Linked DNA regions of Neodiprion lecontei. The protein of the gene in region 2 purifies or fractionates together with the protein of the main gene of each other region. This does not show direct contact. Links are inferred from orthologs where the notes say so. Each region holds a gene or a part of one and is shown on either strand. Other genes may lie near its edges.

Region 1 (4,396 bases), on a different chromosome or scaffold from region 2:
TTGGAGCATTTTTTTTTATCAATCAGACGTACGGAAGGTATTCATTATTAAACATTCTCCGAATTATTCACATTTTTTTTTTGTTATTTCCAGCATTCCAACAATTCCGTTAATTTGTCATTAATTCACCATCCATCGTTTCAGATATTGCCGTCAAACACAGTCCTCGAGTTGAAACATAAAGTTAGTGAATCATTAGGAATCGCTGTACCGCATCAGAAGTTGATTCATACAGGAAAGGCCCTTGCAGGTACGAATAATCTGCAATTATCATTGCTCAAAAATCATTAAATTTAAATGGTTTCTAGTAATAAACGAGAAATTGCTTCAAATTTGGTTCAAAATATCTTTAAAGTTGATCCTAAAAAATTTCGTCGTTTCAGACGACCAGCTTCTGAGTTTTTATCCAACGATAAAAGACGGTTGCAAGTTAAATTTATTTGTAAAGAAGCAAATTCAAAGTGAGGGTAAGAGTGCTCAAGGTGATACTGGCATCCAATTATTCAGAAGCGAGATGTCAAGAGTCTTGAGGCATTATTATACAGAATCTGAAACACAGTCGATAATTAATGAGTTTATGAAAGACTTAAAAAAGAAAGTAGACGGCTTGAGCTATGACGACTTGGAAAGATTAGCAACGGCTCTGCTTCAGGATCAAGAAAGTACCACTTGAAGAAATTTTCCTTGGATTTTTTTCTGCAGAATACCTTCAATCATTCGTTTGTTAATTTTTAATAAAACTCTGCATCTAGAAAATTTTTAATTGTAAGGTTTTCCGTGCTTTTTGAAAAGTGAATGATGTTTTCTTGTACTGCTCACTTTTACAAATTAATTCTTTGCACTCTTTTTTAATTAATTATTTACAACAAATTTTCTATACATTCGTCCGTTTTACGCATTAATTTCCCTCTCATTTCACAAAATGGCAAACCCACAAGTGGCTGAGACGATTGATTTGCACAATATTTAACAGCAATGTTCAACGAAATTCCATTCGTGAATAATTCATTGAGTTGACCTAAGGAATATTTTAAGCATATGTAATTTCTAATATTCAAGAGATGTAATGTAGCCTCTTCAATGATCGCTCGCTTGAATTGACATTCATCCATCATGTTTAGCTGTTAACTAAGTGCAAGATAATGATAATAATAAAACAAAACTTGTTACGTTAAAATTAATCTATATTTATTTCAATCAGTAGTTACAAATTTCATTGATCCCCAATTTCACAATTATGTCGTTCTTTAATCACAAATTACAAGTCCACCAAATCCATTTGTCTGAAATATCTGGCGACCAGGCAGATAAATAAATTCAAAGCTGTGACATCTTTAGCGTTCTCCTCTGTCTAAAAATAAATTACAAATATTATCCATAAAAAATTTACCTCTCGAAACATTTGCCACTCTGTTTTCAAAATGTATTTTACCATGCTAGCTCTGATTATCGAACATGTTCTAGCAAGCGAGCGTAAGCAGGAACACGTGTCTGGATTTAAAGGTAACTCGAGGGTAGCTAGTAGGGCATAAATCCAGCCTCCGTATGGTTGCGAGATCAGGCCCTTTTCTTCTACTGCTTCGACGAGATGTTCCAAGACTTGTTCGATCAGCGGCTGGTTCATGTTTAATACTAGTCCAAGCAACGGTCTCATGTTGCAGATGTACTCCAGCCAGCCAACCTGATCATCTGCGTCAGGCTGTAATTTGCACAAGGATAAGTGTATTCTGAAATCAGATGTGATCAGAAATTAAATCTTACCAGAACAGTTTGTCGAAGCCTGCGGCGACCCTCAGCATTTTGTAAATTGTGTTTAATCCGGTCGATCTCTAGTCTCACAGAAGAAAAGTCTGCTAGTTGACACTGCTGCCAGTCCAGAGTCGGAACCATCGAAGCTGGAGCCTCGACACATCCTGCTAGCTGAGCAATTGTTTATTACTCATTTCACACATCGTACAAATGATTGCTTTTGCCTGCTTGTTTTGTTTCATTGACTTACAGGCTTTACCGCCACCATGGGAGTCCTAATACGAGCTTTTATATTCTCTGCCACAACCACGTCGTCGCACTGCTGCGCCTCAATTCTAGAAATATTTTGCAATTGCAGTGAATTGTTTAGAGGGAAAATTAGCGTATTGAAAGATGGGACAGGAATACCGACACCACACGCTTGATGTATTCCTCTCCTGAGGATGGAGGTAGCATAAGGTCGAATTCCGCGTCAATTTCGCCCACAAATAAAGCAGGCTCTCTCAAAATATCCCCCATCTTTCGAGGCGAGGTATATGGTTAAAAAAAATTTCGTCGCAACGCGTGCTAAGAATTTCGCATTGTTGACATGTTTTTCCTAGGTTAAATTACGTTTGAATAACGTGAATTCCGTCATCCTTCGACGTATTATCGGTGGTCACATGCAGGAAGACCAGAAACTCGATATCATTTTGCAAGCTCTTGTTGCCATGGCAACGGGTACAATCGTAGTGGCGGCAAAATTGGACAAACGCGTGACGGAAACCCCGGGAAATTTAAAACTGTCTACCTATATAAAACGGTAATCAAAGTTTATTAGTCGTAAATGATCATGATACATTCTTTCCACCACGATGAATGATTCTTCTTATCGTCACGATTTATTCATTACTCTACGAATGTAGACATCACCGGGTGATCTGAACCTTACAACTTTTGGTGAGCATATGGATCTCTATACCTACTGTTATTTTTTTTTTTTGTTTTTCTTTTTTATTAAAATACATAAAATATGTACACTCGGTAGCCGTAGTAGCGACCTATTTACAAAAGAATGTGTGTGAAAAATTTGTTATTGTATGTTTGTCGGGACACAGTTCGATCGGCGCAGGCGTATACTAAGCTAAAAATACTGATAAAAAAACCATATTTAATAATATTCTTGAAATTCAAATTAATTTTAGGTGGATCGACATAATACATATAACATATTTATCGTACGTAGCGTACTAGACGTACATACATAACAAAAATATCTTAATTGTAAGTACAGCAGATCATTGATTGCGTATTGTATTGTATTAATCGACAGATATGATATCTGGACAAAAAATATTTATCATAAAAATCGCTCAGTTTGGCAATTGGCAATCTCAAATACATACGTATGAATCTCCATACGTACGAATAGATCGAATAAGACTGTATATCATGGATTGAAAAATCTGCGTCTAACTATTTTTTCCCGCAAGTATAATATAACCCGTATAATGAATTTCAATTTCTTGTTACTTTCGCGGTGTCTCTTGAGCCGCCAACTTGTTCCAGATCAATACCGTCGTATTCCAAAGCTCCAGCATTGTCGTAGTAAGCGTAATCGTAGTCGTTCTTCTTTTCCGACTTCGATTTTACCGTGGTAGATTCTTGACGCCGATCGACAGTCCTTGTCGTGGATGTGAACGGCCTTGGTGTCGCACTGACGAAATTTCCAGTTCTTGAATTCGGCGTCGTTTGCGACGCGTAATTGGTCGCTGCAGCCGACGACGGCCTCTGAGTTGTTGGGTTATTGTAGACAGTCCTTCTATAACAGATCATCACAAGTTAGACATTAGTGATAAACATATAAACACCTATTCCTTCAATCCAAGCACTTTCAATGAGAAAAATCACCTACCTCGGAACGGGAGTCGTCGCTCTCACGGTGACGGGACTCTCTGCGAGCTTGTTGACACTAGCGGGACTGAATCCGTTGACGGAAGCCGTTCTTCCGCCCTGGTCGAAGTTGTCGAAGCTCTTGGTGCTTCCGTCGAAATTCGTCTTAGATTCATAGTTGTTGTACTGCGTAGCAACCTTCTTCGGGGCTTTCGTAGCCACCTCGCGATTGTACTGTCCGCTGTTATCGTTGGACCTCGAGGTGTCGTAGGTCTGCTCGGTCTGCTGAGTGTTCCTTTCGCGGTACTGGCCGCTGTTCGTTGTTCTGGCGCTCTCGTACTGCCCGGTGTACTGATCGTTCCCTCGATTGATCACCTGGCTTTGGGTGTTGCCATTACCGATGGTCGCTTGTTTCTTGGTAACCGGACTGTAGGTCGTCGGGATGTAGCTGCTACCCGCAAAGCTGTTTGCGAATCTCTGAGTGGTTTGAGTAAAATCTTGCTGTCTGGTGGTCTGAACTTTGTTCGCAATCTGGGGCTCGCTGGTTCTCGGGGTGACCGAGTAGTCGTCGTAGGAGGTTGACGCGAAAGTCGAAGTCTGGAACGTGGTACCGCCGGTGTTCGCTGTTCTCTGAATGGTGTTGTAGTTTTTCTGATAGTAACCGGTGTAGTCGGTCGTCTGGAAGCTCGTGCTGGGTCTTAGGGTCGTCGGTTGTGTTGAGAATTGGTTGAACTGATTGGTAAAAGTCGGGCTGCTCTGGTCGGTGGGCTTCTTA
Region 2 (8,250 bases):
GGCCCAAAATACGAGTCTATTGTCCCTGAGCCCATGGCGAACTGATCGAGATTAGTCTTACCGATCAAAACTGCTCCAACATTCTTTAAACGGCTATATACCGTAGCGTCATATTCAGGAACAAAATTAGCCAGCATCAAAGATGCGCAGGTCGTTGCTGTGCCACTTGTACAAAAGTTATCCTTGATCGCTATTGGAATTCCATCGAGGGTTCCTAGAGGCTGACTTTCGGCGTATCTAGCATCTGATTCCTGTGCCTGCAACTCTGCCGATCCTCCGGTCACACAAATATACGCGTTTAGCGGCTTTGACGCATTTGCCAGCTTCACCGCGGCTCTGCAAATCTCGGATGGCTTCAATTCGCCGGCATTCAGTTTGTTACTCACTTGTTTTATCGGTCGTGACAGTATCTTATTCATTGTCTCAGTTTGTTTGTTACTTGTCAGGATTAAGATTGTGTATTACATAACCTCAACTTTTAAACAACCCCGGCATCTCGTGATTAACCACGCTTTCAACAATTCGATATTCGATTCATGAATTTTTTAAATCACGCGTATGATTGCTACACGGGTAATCTAAAATTAGGCGTACGAGGCACGCGTTACACGCGCGAAATTCAAAGTGAGAAAACTACGTTGGATCAATGATGTGTAGTAGGAAAACGAAGAACGTTGAATGTAGAATTAGAATTCGATTTATTTATTTGTCTACCTTTAGTCATGGAAAGCGTGAATATTTTCGACAAATAGACCAATCTCGACTATATCGAACACTAGCTCACATGTCATGGAAAAGAATTTCAGCGTAAACAATAAAGTATTTGGTTCCGGTCTACTGACAATGAGTCTATACGAGAATTTGACGGTGATACTTTAGATGTAACAATAGATAAACTTTAATTCATACATGTATTACATGCAAAGCTGTTACCGTTTGAAGCGACCGGCGCTTTTGCGCGATTGCCTTGCGATATTTCAGAATACATATCTAAATCTATGTCTAATACGAACTTTCTATACAATAATATACACGAATCTCTTCCTCGAACAATATGAAACAAATTTCTAAGGGCACGGAATTTTTCTTCAATATGCTTATACATTTATAGTATTATCGAAAACATACCCATCGAAAGTGAACGCAGATATTGCGCCGGTTTTACGTTAAATTCATCAGCTGCTTGAAGAGTTCTAGATTAGAAAAAGTATTCCTTGAACATACGGAAAATGTTATCACTCGCATATGTCAAATTCAAAAATTACTCCTATACGTTAAATCAAACCTAAAGTGTTCGCGTTCCTCAGTTCTCGACTTTTTATGTTACTACCATGGATATTCCGATACGAAATCACGAACCGAGCTGCTATTACTATATCGCGAATCTATCTTGAAATGTAAATTTTTCCTAAGATAGATTTAATTCATCCATGTACTAGTCAATTTACGAATTGCTTTCACATTACTAGCTATATGACATTCGTTATAACATGAAGTTCGGAAAACTGCTACTATTTTACGACTTAGAACGTATTATTCAATAGTGTACACAATGTAAAAGACTAGACTGAAAGTCATAAAAGAATCGCCACAATATCTCCTCTAAATAAACGCATCATTGTTTTCTACAGTCGGTTATAGTTCAACGAGCTTGACTATCTCCCGTGTTCATAAAATAATCTCATAAAATATAATTCGCGCAGATCAACGGTAACTGTGCCAATGTTAAGTTTAGCGGACAATATACATATTTTGTGCTCAATAATGTAAAGCTGACTTAAAACTCAGTATTATATCTTGATGATCATTTCAAGCTGTATTCGAAAAATACTAACCCTAGATAAATTCGGTTGTTATATATGTATGAATCAATAATCCCTCCAATATTCATACTAGCAATAGTAATTTGTTTGAATGATTATTCAAATAAGAAGTTGTCATATTGAACCCCAGCTGTCATCCGTTTCCTACGCCTTCCGACATACCTCAAATGAACAGAAGCGGTCCATCTAAATGGTTTAATTTTAAACCTTTGCTATTTTTTTCACATTTAACACGATTTCGATCTTTAACATACAAGTAAATCACGATATTTTCACCTGCAAACATCAGATATGCACTATTCAAGTTTTAGCTCAATTTTCTCTTTCAACTTTCTCACATAAAATTGCAGGATATCATAATTTTCGCCATATCTTCACGGATATGACTAAAGACGTCAGACTACCAGCCAAAACTATATTACATGAAATTGAGATCGATATCTCATGATACTTGCCACTGTTACGGTTTTCCGTGATACGTTTTATCGCTCAACATATCTGGTAGTAAATGTTTGTGGCTTGGAAGATTCCTCTTCATCGATAAAACATATTCCTCTAAACTAATGTGTGTAGATCCTCTTCATCTTCGTCAGAAGTAGCAGAGGGTGGCAACATATGTCACATCTTGAATAGATGTGGAAATTCGTTACTGATTTCACGCACCAATTTTTGATCAGATTTACTCTCAGGCAATTCTTCGCAAAATATCCTGTAAGATTGAATAATAAATGCATTTGTTTTTGGAACATTGTTGGTACTTCGTAAAAAAATTTGCCTACTACCCCTGATCAACATTTTCCAAGCATAATACGAAAGAAATCATAGCGAAACGAGCCTAATTTAAAGTACGGAACGAACTGTAGTTCAATACAAACCTTGTGAAACATTTCAACACGTCTTCACACCTGTGACGATGTTCATTGTAGCTTTCAGTTCTCAACACTCTCCGACACAGCTCCAAATACTGTCTGCGTTTCTGTGCAACGACATGTTCCACATCAGGTTACAATATACTACTACATAATTTTTTATTTTTTCATACACCTGGAATTGTTTCATAATATTTATATGTATTTAAATTACCTTCACTCCTGGTGAGATATCAAACAACTGCCGTACAATAATGTCAATCAAGACTTTAATATCGTTGGTGTAAAATAAGTTTGCAGTAACATCATTACTGAAGAGATCAACAAATAATTTGAGTACAGAATGTGGAGGAGCAGGTTGATGATCAAATATTCGTACCGGATCCTCTAGAATAATGGTGAATGCAAGAAGATAAGACGGAAGTTTTTCTTCTCCAAAGAAGAACAAACAATGGATAAAATACGGTTGCTACAGTAGGTTCAATTTGGTGTGAAGCATCAAAATCTCACCTTCTCTATTAAGAAGCAGTAGAATTTTTTCTGTGAATGTTTTTGCCACAGTTCGCAGTTTTAATGCATTTAATACCATGTTTTCCGAAGTGGTGAATTGCAAATTATAGGACAGAACCAAATTCAAAAATAAATCCGGTATTTGATCATCCATATCGGTATCAGGAGGATTTTCTATCAATTCTAAAAGGAATGATATAAAATCTGTTCCCAGCTGCTCTGTAATCAGACAATTATAAAGACATCGCAGATACTGAAACTCAGTGGAAATGAACACACAACGTGGAGTATTCTTACCCAAATGAGTGACGGGCATTGGTTCACCCATTGAGAAGATCATAGTAAGCAACAGCGAAGAATAATTCAGCCTTGGCACATTCCTTGGGTACGTTCTCATGTCACTGTTTGAAAAATACACTATATAAATCGGGTGATTCTATTATGCCTGTTAGCAAGTACGTGTTTAATGGAAAGCACAATAAAATGAAAATGTGTATCGACAAAAGCAGGTTGATACTAATTTAAAAACGATTGACACGGAATCGTTAATATCACATTTCGGCATTAGACTGCATGAATACATTGTTAAATAGAATGGAGTTCAGCAAAATTTCAACTTTAATACTGCATTACAGTAGGAGGACAATTTTTCTTGTCATACCTTGCTAATTCCATTGGCAGAACACTGTTCAACATGATGGTGAGAACTACTGCATCCAAACTGCACATAACACCAAATGATTGCAGAAGCAGTTGCCTAATAGTCCATCTGGGTTCCATTTGGTAGTATTGTATTAATGTCGTTACGCCATTATATTGGTCCGATCTTAATGCATGTCGTGAAACATTTGCATCTGCATTTGTCTAAACAGTGTTCAATGATATGATTTACGTGGCTAACAACGAGGATGTATAGTAAGAACGATTTATAAACATAAATTCCGATATTCTGACGTGTATCACAACACATTTTTATGCCATTACTCTAGTTATAAGTATATTTCAGGTATTAAGGAAGAGAAGTGGGTCAAATCAGAAATATTACTCTAATTATGATGTCTGGTGATTGGATGATTTGAAAATTTTTCAAACTTTTGTGACCTTCATTGGTTGGTTGAAAGGTTCTTCAAAAATACTGAGAGAACTATGCTCCCTGTAATCTTTCTCTGTTCTCTTAATGAACATTTGTAGATATTTTTAAGGTATGTTGTTTACTATCAATATTGAACAAAGATGTAACAAGATAATTAAATTTACCAGAATGGATGTGAGCTCTTTGATGTATTCGACAATAATAGGTTCATCTTCATACAACATCCAACTTCTCTGCTGAGAATCCTCCTTGCAAGAAGTAAGCTCTGTAAAAATAACTTTGAGCCTATTGGCATCGTGTGTTTCTTCAATACTCATTTTTGAAGCAATCAATGGCACTTGAAGCTGGTTCAACACTGCAGCAAAATAATGACTTATACTAGCTGGTAAAAGTTCCTGCAGACCAGAAACAACCACAGCAACTGCAACTTTCGACATTTCGTGACTAAGTTGTGTATTTCGTCTCACTTGATCGAGTAGCTGATAAGCAGCTTTTGAATTAATCTCACATGAAGTTGAGGAGCTGCTTTTTATTGGTGAGGAATTTCCTACAGTGTTCAATGCACTTTGAGAAGGACTTCTTTTCATTTGAATTGGTTCAGATTGGCTAGTGTGAATTGTATCAGATATAGATTGTCTAGGTAGCTGTCTGCGCTGATCGTTTACAGTCGTCCGCCTGCATTGTGCAATTAGTTGGGCGTCTGCAGGATCGGCATCGTAATGAAGTGTAGATTGAGCAGTGGCATAGGACGTATTGCTAGGAGCAGATCGAGCATCGCCATCCGGATTAGTATAGACTGTTTGATTAGTTGTATCTCTTCCTAAGGTGGAAGTCGAAAAAACTGGAGGCATAGGTGCTTGCTTTTTTACTTTTCTGCCAAGCTCTGCTTGTCTCTCCTTTTCCACAAGCCTCATTAGAAGATCCTGCTTATCAGCTTGAACGGAGCTGCCTTGCTGTTGAATTTCGGTTTGCAATTTCTCTATGCATTTCCTCAGGTAATCAATCAAAAATTGAGGCTCGACCTGCAGAGAGAATCGAGTATTAATGACTGTAAAACAAAATAGAGAAATGTATGAATATTCAGAAGACTTCCAGTATCAGAAAAGGAAATACCTTGACCGTAGTAACATAGTTAGATGGTATATAGCCAAGCTGCCCCAAGCTGTTCACAACCTGCCACCAATTTCTCTGTTTTGTATTTGTTTGATACAGTATAAAATGTTCGTTTTCTCGAAAGCTTAGAGTTTTAGCAAAGGTTGCCTTGAATTCGTACAGTGCTTTTAGCATCTCATAGTTTTCTGTGTACAAAAGAAAGAAGGTTATTAGTACAAGCCACAGTCTTGAATATTTGGAATCATAAGTTTCAACTAGTAGAGCATTTGCCATTGACTAACTAGCAAAAACGTGAAAACCAACCGCGTAATCGAGCGTGATAATTTCAGATAGATATGTAAACAGATTCGTGTACGTCTCGTTGTTTGGTTGAAGGACTGGCTAGTTAAGGGATGCGATCTTACCTAACCTGATGTAGTTGTCACCCATCATTTAAACACAAAATATAAATCACGAATTAAAACGAATTCGGTTGAATTCCTTAAGCAATAGAAAAAAATAGATGCAGGTATAAAATACAGACTGGTCGACGAAAATGTGAGAACAGATGGTGATTGCTTTTCACTTTCGTTTACTCTGCTCCAGTTATCATTCTTTTTTTCAACAAGAAACACATAACCTGTTTGTTTACGAAACACAACCCACTCAGGCGCCCACCGACAAACTCGCAGCGGTAACAACGAACTTGCACAGTTGCACTGATTTATGTACCTTACCACGGAAAAAGTCGATGGAAAGAAATGAAACTCTGCCTCAATACTGTGCAATGAACTACAACGTGATATGCCATGTTGAATCGACGCATGAAGTGAAACCCTACGGTGCGAAACGAAGCGAATAGCGTTTCTTCAGTCAACGAATTAGTCAATGGACTCCAAATACGCGCCACGCGGTATCCAATAACATGTAAGAGCTGTTGAGCTTACGTGCATACATATTATACAGAAAAGTAATAATCTATACAGAATTTTGGAGTAATGGCTGCAACGGTAGACCGTGTGTCAAGCCTCGAACCATCTGAGGATGAGATAGAAGCAGAAGAATTAGAGGAAACACTGAGAAAAAGAAAAACGTCAGAACCTGAACTTGGAGAGGTTAAATACAACAAGAAGTTTACCACTCCTCTGAGAAAGAAACGCAGAAATCATTACGACCCGGTAGAAGAAGCCAGGTAAATGAACTTGAACCATGATCTTTCACCTACGAAACAATTCTTCATCCCTTGTATTTCAAATTCAATCACATCTCAATAATTTCCAGACTCGAAAGGCTCGTATTCGGTGACCATATCGACGTCATTAGCAACCTTCTACAAGATGAGCACAATGATTCTAAATCACAGACACCTTTGTCCAAGGTTTCGACCCCTAATGATGAGGTGGACGATTCTGATGACAATGAAGACAATGATGAAAAAACCGATGACTCTGATTTAGATAGATCGGGTTCAGAAGATACAGAGCAAGATACAGATGCTGATTCGGGAGTCGAAGATGAAGAATTGAAGACTGAAAAACAAGCGGCATGGGTAGATGATGACGAAGAAGAAAACCTTTCGTAAGCAACAGACGATAATACATCTAGTGTTGAAAACAGAATAAAATTTGTGTTGAATATATGTTGATTCATTTACTCAACAGCGTTGAAGAAACCTTGCGTCTGCAAGGGCGAAGACTGGCTGTGCAGCGGCCTGAAAAACACTACAAAGAACTGCTACGAAACAAGTACCAACAACTTGTTGGCACTCCTAAGTGGGCTGAAATTAGTGCAAAAAAGGAAACTGGCTCCGAAGAGGATTCAGACGACGAAATATTGCGGGTACTATTTAAATCTCATCAATCATATTATAACCATCGATGATTAATTAAATTATGAAATATTTAGTTTTTCAATTAGTTTTAGTATTGATGTTTCCCTGCTATTATCTCTACAGCACAGCAGTCATTTGATAACACCAAAACCTAAGAATTTAGCACAAGGAACAATCGAGTTGAAAGCTCTAAAAAATATAAACCAAGAAACTCGATCCGAGGGGCCTGTAATAACAAGTCTTCAATTCCATCCAACCTCTACAGTGGCATTAGTCGCTGGATTATCTGGGATATTGTCGATATTTCAAGTGAGTCAAGAGTGATCCACTTTTTAAAAAAATTACAGGGAATCTCAATATTTGCAACCAGAGTAATAATGAAAAACTCGCAATAATTTCATCTTCTATTTCGTCAGATTGATGGTAAACAGAATACAAAACTGCATAGTATGCAGTACCGAAGATTTCCAATAAATACGGCCAGGTTCGCAAAAGAGGGATCAGAAATAGTGGTAGGCTCACAACGCCATGCTCATTGTCACACCTATGATTTATTGGCTGGAAAAACGTACAGAGTACCACTACCACATGGCATGACTAATATGAAGGTACGCAGAAGACAATTGCAAGTTTGCTAGGTCTACGGCGACATCTAATGCTATCCTGGTAACGTTGATTACAGAACTTCGAAGTATCTCCCGATGAGAAATTCATCGCCGTATGTGGAAGAATGGGTAATATATACATCCTGACTACCAAAACCAAAGAACTTGTGAGCACTTTGAAGATGAATGACCAGTGTAATACTTTAGCATTCTCTCCTGACAGTAGGAAACTTTTCACACATGGTGGTAAGTTGAATATTTCTGAAGTTGTAATCAATTTATAATTTGTTCGGAGGTAATCAAAGAAATATTCTTCTCATATATTTAGAGGGAGGCGAAATTTACGTATGGGACATGAACGAGCGTACATGTATGCACCGAGCTATAGATGACGGTTGCTTGTCGGGGTCAAGAATTGCGGTTTCAC

What was found. Proteins that work in one complex are often made in the same cells at the same time.
Region 1: the proteins of NCK-interacting protein with SH3 domain (region 2) and gem-associated protein 2 purify together in Homo sapiens (co-immunoprecipitation; 3 studies listed by BioGRID and IntAct, counting the BioPlex papers as one, with this or other methods). This does not show direct contact. The link is inferred for Neodiprion lecontei from reciprocal best matches to the Homo sapiens genes NCKIPSD and GEMIN2.

The regions. Positions count from the first base shown.
Region 1 is NC_060263.1:39,235,846-39,240,241, forward strand, and holds gem-associated protein 2, read right to left. Parts: upstream 2,417-4,396; 5' UTR 2,269-2,416; coding exon 2,162-2,268; intron 2,085-2,161; coding exon 2,000-2,084; intron 1,921-1,999; coding exon 1,762-1,920; intron 1,700-1,761; coding exon 1,433-1,699; intron 1,352-1,432; coding exon 1,259-1,351; 3' UTR 1,167-1,258; downstream 1-1,166. Other genes in the region: ubiquitin-like protein 4A, read left to right, coding at 145-250, 384-673; probable cyclin-dependent serine/threonine-protein kinase DDB_G0292550, read right to left, coding at 3,247-3,550, 3,644-4,396. UniProt on the Homo sapiens protein: The SMN complex catalyzes the assembly of small nuclear ribonucleoproteins (snRNPs), the building blocks of the spliceosome, and thereby plays an important role in the splicing of cellular pre-mRNAs.
Region 2 is NC_060261.1:38,347,005-38,355,254, forward strand, and holds NCK-interacting protein with SH3 domain, read right to left. Parts: upstream 6,113-8,250; 5' UTR 5,841-6,112; coding exon 5,813-5,840; exon of another isoform or gene 5,712-5,812; intron 5,594-5,711; coding exon 5,409-5,593; intron 5,318-5,408; coding exon 4,460-5,317; intron 4,067-4,459; coding exon 3,864-4,066; intron 3,604-3,863; coding exon 3,500-3,603; intron 3,422-3,499; coding exon 3,203-3,421; intron 3,080-3,202; coding exon 2,907-3,079; intron 2,868-2,906; coding exon of another isoform or gene 2,860-2,867; exon of another isoform or gene 2,800-2,859; coding exon 2,699-2,799; intron 2,533-2,698; coding exon 2,442-2,532; 3' UTR 875-2,441; downstream 1-874. Other genes in the region: glutamyl-tRNA(Gln) amidotransferase subunit A, mitochondrial, read right to left, coding at 1-419; U3 small nucleolar RNA-associated protein 18 homolog, read left to right, coding at 6,386-6,579, 6,669-6,965, 7,049-7,226, 7,342-7,527, 7,635-7,826, 7,901-8,069, 8,152-8,250. UniProt on the Homo sapiens protein: Has an important role in stress fiber formation induced by active diaphanous protein homolog 1 (DRF1). Induces microspike formation, in vivo. In vitro, stimulates N-WASP-induced ARP2/3 complex activation in the absence of CDC42.